Caenorhabditis elegans: one gene and its partner. The protein of the gene in region 1 purifies or fractionates together with the protein of each later gene. This does not show direct contact. Each region holds a gene or a part of one and is shown on either strand. Other genes may lie near its edges. The genes, in order: mtx-2 and immt-1.

The links.
Region 2: the proteins of mtx-2 (region 1) and immt-1 fractionate together in Caenorhabditis elegans (co-fractionation; one large-scale study listed by BioGRID). This does not show direct contact.

What each region holds. Positions count from the first base shown.
Region 1 is NC_003281.10:7,761,206-7,765,545, reverse strand, and holds mtx-2 (Metaxin-2 homolog), read left to right. Parts: upstream 1-1,942; coding exon 1,943-2,042; intron 2,043-2,089; coding exon 2,090-2,209; intron 2,210-2,258; coding exon 2,259-2,428; intron 2,429-3,023; coding exon 3,024-3,176; intron 3,177-3,226; coding exon 3,227-3,466; 3' UTR 3,467-3,569; downstream 3,570-4,340. Other genes in the region: Putative ATP-dependent RNA helicase ZK686.2, read left to right, coding at 1-334, 383-806, 935-1,503, 1,551-1,713. UniProt on the Caenorhabditis elegans protein: Involved in transport of proteins into the mitochondrion.
Region 2 is NC_003284.9:2,681,977-2,688,910, forward strand, and holds immt-1 (MICOS complex subunit MIC60-1), read right to left. Parts: upstream 5,209-6,934; 5' UTR 5,182-5,208; coding exon 5,164-5,181; exon of another isoform or gene 5,100-5,163; coding exon 5,011-5,099; intron 4,965-5,010; coding exon 4,797-4,964; intron 4,745-4,796; coding exon 4,536-4,744; intron 4,491-4,535; coding exon 4,243-4,490; intron 3,775-4,242; coding exon 3,655-3,774; intron 3,605-3,654; coding exon 3,491-3,604; intron 3,062-3,490; coding exon 2,837-3,061; intron 2,770-2,836; coding exon 2,386-2,769; intron 2,300-2,385; coding exon 2,033-2,299; intron 1,350-2,032; coding exon 1,152-1,349; 3' UTR 778-1,151; downstream 1-777. Other genes in the region: ser-7 (G-protein coupled receptors family 1 profile domain-containing protein), read left to right, coding at 132-171.

The DNA of each region.
Region 1 (4,340 bases):
AAAACGCCACTACTTTCTCAGCGACAATCGATTCTTCAACATCACAAAAACTTTCTCAAATTGAGCTTCCTGAGCATCTCACAGTCCCATCTGCAATTTCAACATGGTTTCCAGTTCAGTATGCCGTTCTTCCATCTCTTTTCTTTGAAATCCGATCACCACCACCACTACGTCCACGTGACGTGGCGATCGCAGCTCCAACTGGAAGTGGAAAGACAATTTGCTATGTGCTCCCAGTTCTGGCGGCTGTCGGGAGCAAACCATCCAAAATTCTACAAGCTGTTATTTTAGTACCAGTTCAAACACTTGTTGCACAAATTGTGGACGAGTTCAAGTATGTATTAAGTAACATTAAAATGTATGTTTTAATTCTGATTTTAAGACGATGGAATGACGAAAGTGGTGTTGCAAAAGTAGTATCACTTAGTGGAGCAAACGATTTTGAGAAAGAAGCTCGTCAATTGGCATCAGATCCTCCTAATGTTATCGTGGCAACTCCAGCGAGACTTGTGCAACACCTCACTTCAAAAATTCCACCTCCGATTGACCTTTCAAAATTAAGATTCTTGATTGTGGATGAAGCGGATCGAATGGGAAAGCTTATGAGAGAAGAATGGTTGGATTTAGTAGAATTCTTATGCGGTGGAATGGAACGAGTGGCTTGTTTAAAAGATATTATTAGACAAAGAAGAGCTCCTCAGAAAATTGTTCTGTCTGCAACACTATCGAAAGATGTGGAAGAGCTTCATCTATGGAATTTGTTCAAACCGAGATTATTTTCAGCAACAGCAGTTTCTGTAAAGGATGTGAGTGTTTTTAAAAATTATAAAAAGTACATCAGAATTCATTTTGATATTTTCAACCGAACCAAATTCGTTTTTTTTAAATCGTCATGCAAAATATTTTCGTTTATTTTACTTTTTACAATTTTCAGATCACATCTGGAATCCCTCAAGTTGATCATGTATCTGGTAGACTTGCCCTTCCTTCTTCAATCTCTCATCGCCTCGTTGTAACGGATCCAAAGTTCCATCCGCTAGCAGTTTATCAACAAATCACTAGAAATAAATTCAACAGGACTTTGATCTTCGTCAATGAAGTTTCATCATCAAATCGGCTCGCGCACGTTCTTAAAGAATTGTGCAAGGATCAGTTTGAGGTAGACTATTTCACGGCTCAGTTATTCGGAAAACGACGTTACAAAATGCTCGAAAAATTCAATAAAAATGAAAACCGAGTTCTGATCTGCTCGGACGTGTTGGCAAGAGGAACTGATTTGAACAAGGTTGATTGTGTCATCAACTACAATTTGCCTGCCGATGACAAACTATTCGTGCACAGAGCAGGAAGAACTGGAAGAGCTGGACAAGATGGATATGTGATTAGTGTTGGAGATAAGGAATCAAAGAGACTTTTCGTCAAAATGCTAAAAGTTACAAATTTATGGGGAGATACTGTAGAAGAGCAAATGGAAGAGTACATTTTTGAAAAAGATATGGATAGGTAAAAAATTAAAAATTAAACCTGAAATCATCATCAACATTTTTCAGATACTCAAAAGCTTTGGAAAGTCTCAAAGCAACTGTCTCGTCACAAGCGAAAACCGGAGGAAGCAGACAAATTGCTAAACGATCCGGATTTGAAGCAAAGAGAAAAAGTCGACCAAATGCTCGCGGAGAGAAGCCTTGGCTCAAAAAGAAGACGACCGAGTGATTCTATTTTTGTTGATTTCCTTTTTTTCTTGTTATTTTTATTGTTGAACTCAATTTTTTCATTGTTGGTTTTTTAAAGAATTACAGTTGTTTATTTTCATGAATATTCATTTTTTAAATATAAGTTTTCAATACTTTTTTTTCAATTTTTTACGGAGTGGTCTAGACAACCTTCTTAATACTTTGGAAATTCTAAATAATCAATTATACGCTTTTTTGCTCTTTTTCAGATGAGCAGCTCCGGGGTGATAACCCAATTGGTCACTGATGCCTTGTCGATGAATGCAGCTCAGGATTGGGAAGATGTATCTCTCTTCACACCTTATCTCAGTGAGCAGCCTTGGTGTTTTTTTTGCGAAATTATATAATATTTCCAGATGACCAAGCTCTCATGTACGATTTTGCTGATTGCCTCGCCGTTCAAACATTCCTTCGAATGACTTCATTGCCATTCAATGTTCGTCAACGACCGAATGTAGATTTTATTTCTCCTGATGGTTAGATATTGAAAGTACTGAAATCCTCGAATGCAGATATAATTTTAAGGAGTCGTCCCACTTCTGAAAATCAACAAAACTCTCATCACAGGGTTCAACGCCATTGTCGACTTCGTGCATAAGAAAGGAGTCACTCTTACATCACATCTCAGCGAAACGCAAGTTGCCGACATGAGAGCTAATATTTCGATGATCGAACATCTTCTTACCACTGTCGAGGTAATATTCAATGAAAAATTTATATATTAGACAATTATCGTCAAAATACTAAAAACAAAAAAAAAACCAAATAAGTCCCATCCCTGATTGTGCCACGTGGTTCCATTATTTTTCTAAAAGAATATTACTGTCAAAAAATAGAAAATCTGAAAATATTATTCATTTCGGCTGAAACATTTGAAAATGTTCTCAAAAATTGAATAAAAGTTGACGGACAAAGAAAAAACAATGCTTCAAAATCGGCAATTGACAACTTTCAGGGTATTTCCGAGAACTTTCTCAAATGATTCAGACAAAATTAATGTTAATTTCTATATTTTTATACAAATTTTAATTTAAAAAAATGATAGAAATTTGCCCAAAACAATTGCCGCTCGAAATATATCTTGAAATTTCGATTATTTTTCTTATTTTCAGAATTTTGTTAAATTATTTTATTGTTAAAACTAACGTTGGTAAAAATTTAGAAACTGTTTCCTAATTTTTTTAGGATTTTTTCCGAAACAATCAAACATTTTCGGTTTTTGATTATCTATTAAAAATGAAATAAATTGAAATTAATATAGCTGTTTAACTTTTAATTGAATTTTTTCAGAAGTTTGTACTCTGGAACCACGACGAGACGTACGATAAGGTGACAAAGTTGAGATACGGAAGTGTTTATCACTGGCCACTTTCGTCTGTCTTGCCTTTTGTTAAGCGTCGAAAGATTCTTGAAGAGTTGTCTGATAAGGACTGGGACACCAAGGTATGTAAATAGGTTATTTTTGAATTTCCCTTAAAACTCCTTTCTTTCAGACAATGGACGAAGTCGGTGAACAAGCCGATAAAGTTTTCCGTGCTCTCTCTGCTCAACTGGGAAGTCAAAAATATCTAACTGGAGATCTTCCAACCGAAGCTGATGCTTTACTCTTTGGACATATGTACACATTGATAACTGTCAGATTGCCATTGACAAACATCACAAATATTCTGAAGAAGTACTCCAATTTGATTGAATTCACGAAAAGAATCGAACAACAGTATTTCAAGCAGTAATTTTAGAATTTTTTCGTTTGAGAAGTGTATAGTAGTTCAACTATGATTTTATGGTGTGTTCAGATTGTTCTTAAGAAAAACGAATAAATTTTGATAATATATGTTTAACAACTTTTTAGAGTTACGCGATAATTTTTTTTAACTTGAAACATGAATATTTCAAAGCTTCAATATAAGATCCAATGAAAGAAAACTAGAAAAATAGTTATATTCTGTGGAGCTCGAATTTACGGTTATGATTCTTGTGGTTGCAATGTTTATAGATGTCGTTGTCATCACTTCTGGCTCTTTTTGTACATTTGACAAGCTGGCATAATTGTTCTTTTGACAGTTTCTCTGTATAGCTTCAAGTTATTTATCTTGACTTTTGCCATTGCCGTCTTCTCCTATATGTTCACACTGTAATAGCTAGTGAGTTTTAAGTTGTTAGTGATGTATGAAACCGCGTCATAAGTATACCGAAATCAATCGACAAGTGTGAAAGAAAATGTTGTATTAAGACAACATTTGTATTGATAATCAGCTTAAATATTGTATTAGTGAGGGTGATCTTTTAATTATTTAGTATTTCTTGCATAATAAATAGATTACTAAATCTATTCCTGAAAAATCAAGAAAAATCAAGTTTGAAAAATTTCTCATATTTGAAAAAAACGCAAAAATAATCGAATACAGAATGTATATTGAAAGAAACAACACCCATCGACTTTTTTTTTGCGATTTGTATGTTTTTTTAGAATTTTTTACTATTTTCCTTTAATATTTTCATTAATGCCTAGGTAGAACAAACACCTATAAGCATCGTATTCATCATTTTCAAAGATTCTTTATTTCCATTAGTTTTCATAGAAATGAAATAAATATTGACAGGGAC
Region 2 (6,934 bases), on another chromosome or scaffold:
TTTTTCTCAGTGTTGGTTTGCGATTTGCTTCCAAACATTCAACGTTTTGCATGAGTTTTACTTCTAAAGTGAAATGATTTTGATTCTTTGCACGTGACACTGTTTCAAAATTGTACGTATGATATTTTCAGATCTCGACGCAATGACAGTCACGAAGCAAGTGACGTCTAGCACACTACACATTATGTACCATTTCATAATTTATTAACTATTTTTTTCTCATCTGATTTATTCTCATTTTCAATTTGTCGGTACACAAGTAAGGTTACGTGACTTTCCTCTCCCGTTGTATAATGCTTCTCATGCTTTCTAGCATTGCAATTATGTGCATTTCAGAAGGTGTGTGACACCTATTGCCTCAACTTTGTATAAAGTTTTATAACTTCTGAATAAATGTATTGGACAGTATAACAACCTATAATTTTGGAAGTCCATCAAAACAGAAAATGTTGGTTACATATTGTTTTGAAAAGTATAGCAATTCGCCAAAACTTTGACTAGAAAAAAAATTGTTTCGGCAGTTTGAAATTACGACAAAAATGTAATTTTTTTTGTAAAATCGCAACTACATAGACGGATAAATTGTTCAAATTTGAAATTTTATTTTTTTTAAACCTCAAAAATTTTTTTGGATATCATTTAAAATATCTCATTAGTAAATTCGGTCTTTTGGATCAATTTGTTAACCACCCGATGTCTAAAAATTGTATAAAAACAAATGAATTTCCTTTTGACACCATAAGTGTGACTTTTAACAATTTCCCCAACTGCCGCAACTGCACTTCTAGAGATTCTTTATTTGTTTGTCTCAAACTTCTACAAATCATACTTATTTCTGGTAAAAAATTGTAAAATTTTCACATTTATTCAATACATCGACGGTTCGAAAAACTACACAAACTTGGAAAAAATTGACGGCGAGAGTTTGGAAAAAAAAACGGGGAGAAAATGTGCACACACCCATCTACTATAAACTACCAACAAGAAATTGGTTTCTAAAAGACACACACACAATACTACTAGCAGCAAAACGTTTTTAAAACATTTGGATCGTTTTAAATAGGGTGAGAAATAGAGAAAAATAAAATGAGTGTAGTGAAAACCAGTAGAACACAATTTTAAAAAACGGTGACGCAAGACAATCAATTGTTCTAATAAGTTGAGCGAATCGAGGAGACGGCGGCGTGAGCCACAAGAAGCTGGGCGAGAAGGCGAGACTCGAGGTAGGAGCGGGTGTCGACGATCCAGTCACGAGCAAGATGAGCTGGCTGACCCTTCAAAAGTTGAACAACGCGAATCGCCTTATCGAGATCACCATTGTGTACGTACTGCTTGGCGCGGGAAAGGATCTGAACAAAAATGTTTCACTAGTCTTACAAAACGTTTGAATTCTAATTTTAAAAAAACTTGATATTTTTTGTACGGACATCGTACGGGACTGGGAAGCTCTCGGAATAAAGAACAAGCATTTTAATAAAAATTATGAGATAAGAATTTTGATTTTTTTGATCGGAATAAGAATGTTGCCATTCGAATCAAATTTATTTTTCACAACGGGGTCATATTTATAGAGACCCGAGTTATGAAGACAAAAGCCCGATTTTTACAAACCTGACAGTTTTTAAACGTGGGTTCATTACGTTACTTAAAGCTGACATATTTTTAATGATATTTAACATGACTACTAATCAACCACGAAGTCATACGAGCGTATCTCACAATCTGGAGTATTCTTATAAAAGTACGGAATTTCTGCCGGATTCTAAAAAAAAAACAGTGGAAAACGCCAAAAGTGATCTGCTAATCTGCTGCCAAAAATCCAACCTCAAAATTTCTAAGAGTCAGGAGCAACGTGGATGGAAATATTTTTAAATTTTTTAAATGGAATCATGACCAGATTTTTATGGAATATGTGAGCTATACAATTTTATGTATCATGTTCAATCACCTAGGGGTTGCAGAGCAGAGTTGTTTACGTATCCGCATAATTATGACCCACTCTAATGTATTCTGTACTCAAATCTATCCTCACCTCATAGTTATCAGTGTTGTTCACATCAATAGCATCTAAATTTCCATACTGTTGTGGCATATCCACGAGGAACAGGGATTTGACGTACGACCAGAAATAGGCTCCTAAGGTTCCTCCGTTCTCATCGATAGAAGCAGTCTTGCGACCAATCTTGTACAGTTGCTCGAAGCGGTTTTTGAGATCCTGCTCAGTGTATGTGCCAACTGTGGTCGCTTGTTTTGGGAACGAGTCGATGATGGCGTTGACAAACTCGTCTTCTGGATTGACCTGAAAACGATAAATTCAGATTAAAATGAAAATGTAGAATAGTAACAAAATGTAAAAAAGTTGATTTCGTTGACAAACTCGCTAACCTCCTTGAGAAGATTCAAAGACTCGTTCAATGGAAGTCTTCTCTCATCAATGTTGTTTCCGGCCTTGTTACCATGTTTCAAAGTGTCAATCAAATTATGGCACGCAATCCAGAACTGCTTGGCGCGACGGTTTTCGTTGTCAAGAGCAACTCGGCTTCCGAGAGCCTCTTCGATTCCCTCCAGTCGGCTCAACGCAGCACCAACTTGCTTGCTGTGAAGATTGCGCTCTTGCAAAACTGCCTCCTCTACCTTCTGATTCTGTTCAATCTCGAAGAGTTGTCTCTGAGTCCGGATGACTTGCTCCAAGTGCTCAGAGTGAGCCGAGGCGGTGCGCTTCAATTGATTCTCCAGCTCACCTTCCCATGATGAACGGCTTTCCACAAGCTGAAATCAAAAAGTGGAATATTTGAGGAAAAACAACTTTTAACCCCAAATTTGATAACAAACTTACAGCTCGTTCGATTTCCAACTCATTCTGACGGCCAACACGGCTCATCTCAATGCTCAATTTTTCAGACGCGATCCGCTCATCGGCAAGTCGCTGCTCTTCAAGAGCCTTTGAGATGTGCAGTTCCTCGCGAACTTGCTGATCCGAAAGCTGACAACGAAGCTGGTCAACTTTGAGATGAGCGTGAGCGATCAATGCATTCAGTTCGTCTTCGTTGAGATTTTTGTCCTGAAAATGAATTTATGTGAACTTTCAAATTTGTATTTTAGGAAACAATGTCAAAAAGGCTTTTCGTTTAGTCAAAAATTTTAAACGTTTGATATTCGACTTTCAATTTGTGAAAAATAACAGAAGCCTTTCCTATCAAATCCTCAGCTGAAATATCTTCCTGAATCAGTCAGCATCTATAAAAAATTGTAAAAATTGTGATCTCAAATATATTTGTACTGTAACTATTTGTACTAAAGGTATGTTGTATTCTTCTGACTTTACCGAGAGTACATATCAACTATAAATATAATTTTTGCTTTTGACTACAAAAATTTCATAAATGCACCTTAGCAAAATCATAGGCTCATTTGAGCCTATTACAGAAATTCATTATTTTATAAAAAACCGAGGATGGACTCCATTCCTTCTATTTTTTTCGTCACTCACTTTAGCGTGAATATCAACATTTGGCAAGATGCTCTTCATCTCAAGAGCAAACTGTTGACGAGACTTCTCAATCAAATCCTTGTACTGATTGAGGACTGCAGATTCTTGACGAGACTGAAAACAATTTTGACAATTTTTGGTAAAAGTGCCAATGCATGTAATACCTTGTTGACCAATGCGTTGATCTCATCAAGCTGATGAGAAAGCTTATTAGCAGTCTCTTGAGCATTCAGAAGTAGCGGATTTGTGGCGGTAGTTGAATCTCGCTTTCCATCGTTCACAATCTGTAAATGTCCGAATTGAGAAAAATAAATAGTTATTATTAAAAATTTGCATTTAATCAAATATTAAACAAGCGTCTCTATTTTCAGTTGCATTTAATTCCTTTTCGTAAATGAGCTTGGAAGAGGTCCTTTTTACAAATTTTGAAAAAAAAACAGGGTCGAAGTATTGCAACAAGACAAAAATCATAGGACCTGTCACATAATAACTTGTGTAGCAGTTCAAAAACAGGCACTAGATAGCCGAACTTCCGCAGACCGGACGACAGATTTAGTCCGGTTTAGTCAAGTCCTAGTTTCCAATGGTCTAACGACTCTGGGTATTTTATTATGAAGGTGTAAGACCAAAATGTGCTCATTAAAAGAATTTCGCAATGAAGTTTCTCAAAAAATTTAAAAATTTTGTGTCATTGCGGTTCAAAATTTCAAACATAAATTTTTTTTTGGGTGTTAGGCTGTACCAAAAGATACCTTGCGAAGGTTATCAATGTAGTTTCTCCCGTCCACCTCTTGGCCACTGTCGACGCGTGCCTCAGCTTCGGCTCTTTGAAGAGCAGAAGTGACGTTTTCCCAGTTGGCGTGCTTAGCATCATCGACGGTTTGCTTGAGAATACTGGCATGCTCATTGATCGCATTGATGGTCTTCAGCTTGGCCTCAGTGGCTAAACGCACTTTTCCTTCAGCAGAGTGAATTGCGATTTTAAGCTTCTCCTCAAGTTCTGTAACTTTAAACTGTTATGAAAATTACGCTTAAAAAATCTTACGTTGGTTCTTGGCAAAGACGACATCTGGAGAAGGTTTTGGGATCATTGGGGTCACATCTTTGCGAACATCCACTGGGTCAACATGTGTGGGCTCTCTTGGAAGGACAGGCGGCAGTGGCGCGAGCTCCAATGGAGGAAGAACTTCCTTCTTTTTTGGGACAGCGTTCACTACAGCATCCTTGAGGTCACCGATCTGTTGTTTTGTCTTCCTGAAAAAGGATTATCGTTAAGACTGTCACTTTTTTAGTAAATAAAGCTTACTGCAAGCTAGATTCTCCCAAAACTGCGTCGAAAACTTGTTTCACTGGCGGAACAGTGGATTCGACTTTGTGACGGAACTCAGGGTCGACATACGCGTATCCGACAACACCACCAGCTCCAACAACGGTTGCTCCGACAAGAGCCAATCCTTTGCCACCTCCGGATTTTCTGAAATACGACGCGTTTTTATTATCGATTTTGGTGTATGTTTTACTTTGGTGGTTGAACTGGTGGCTTCGGTGGAGCAGCGGCTTGATTTGATTGTTGACGGGCTCTTTTCAACGTCTGGCTGACTGATCGCTTCTGAAATGAAAAAATTATACATTTAAACTAAAAATTGCATTTTTTTAATGAAAAAAAAACTCACCGATGCAATACGAAACATTTCCGCGACGAGCAGCGAATAATTTACCTAAAAAGTAATAAATTTTACAACGAAATTTTATATAAATCAAGAAAAAATCAAAATAATCAAGAGAGTGCAATCGAAAAAGAAATAAACATATTGTTTAGTGTTCGAAGATTAAGTTGCGCGTCATGCACGAGAAACGCGCCAGCAATCGATGTCTGTGTATCTTTTGTAAGTGCGTACGGGACGACGGGAAGAATGGCTGTGTGGGGAGGCATTGGAAGAGTGTGGCAGGGAAACAAAGGGAAATTGCCGATGCATTAAACGTTTGGGACATTTTGAACGCATAAACCCAAAATGAGCTCAAATAAACGAATTTTATAATGAAACTTCATTAAAAATTTTCAAAAAGTAGTTTTTGCCGGTTGAAAATTTCGAAAAAAAAACGTATTTCAAGTGAAATCTCCAATTTCGGCCATTTTTCCGTATCGCACACCTGGTCCATAAAAATTTTCCAACACTTTTAAAAGTGATTATTTAATCAAAACGCGGAATTTGGTTGTATTTTTAAGCTTAAAAAAACTTTAGTCCTAAGCCTAATATCGACAAAAAGGGTAACGTTAATTTTTCAGAATTGTAAACACTACAGAAGTACCGTAATTTTGTTAATTAAAATACATTTAAAACCGATAGGAAAAAATTATAGTATTAAAATAGCAGCTTTGGATTACTACGACTTGGAAAAGTGGCCAAATTTAAAGATATTTGAAGTGCCATAAACGTCCTAAAATTTTATGCAACATGAATTTTTACTGTTCTGTGTAACTTTTCAATTTAGAAATCAACATTTGTACGCAAAAAAGTGCAGCAAAAGTGCAGCATATAGTACCAGATATTTCCTTAAACTTCAGAAAAATGTTTGCTTTATTTGAAAACATCTTTAATATAATTCATAAAAATAAAAATAAAAAACTGCTTAGAAATTGTCTCTAATTTAATAAGAGCCGGAAAAATATCCCACAAATTATGGAAAATAATTTCCGGCAATTTTCAACTTGCATACTATTTTTGAGCATTTTTACAGTTGTTTCATATTAAATAAAACATTACTTTTAGATTAAAAAAAAAGTGTTTTTCTATATTTTATTTTTAACATTTAATAAAATATATCACTTTTTGCTCATTTTGGCTCATTTTGTAGATTTGCCGAAATTGCCGCGCACCCCTGATATGTACACTTTACCGGAAATTTTTAAAAATTGATAATGCACTAAAAAAATAGTAGAAACCATTAGAAACCAGTGTACAATTGATAAATGGTGTTTGTATCTGGGCATTTCATGTTGAAAAAAAATCGCCAAGGTCATTTGTTTGGTTAGGCCAGTGTACTTGAAATTGGTAGTGTTAGAACTTATATTTTATTTTTAAAATAATTGATTTTCAATTTCTTTTTTCATTTTTCTTCCAATTAACTCTTTCCATTCAAATAGAATTTTGAAATATACAAATTCTCAGTCACCATACACAACTTATTAAAGCGCAAGAATTTTAACATGCCCAGCAATGCTTAAGAGACGCAGAGTATATTCACCGTAGTTTGAAGCGAGGGTCTCGAAGCGATGTGGCAGTGAGAGTGGGGCTGCCTTTTCCTCGGGTTTGCACCCTCTCATCCGCCGCTATTGATTCTCTTTCTTTTCTCAATTTCCCTCGGGCTCGATGGGCTCGCTGCTTCTTTTCATTTTCGTGTTTTTTTTTCGTCAGCAGGCACATTGAATAAATATTCCGAGGC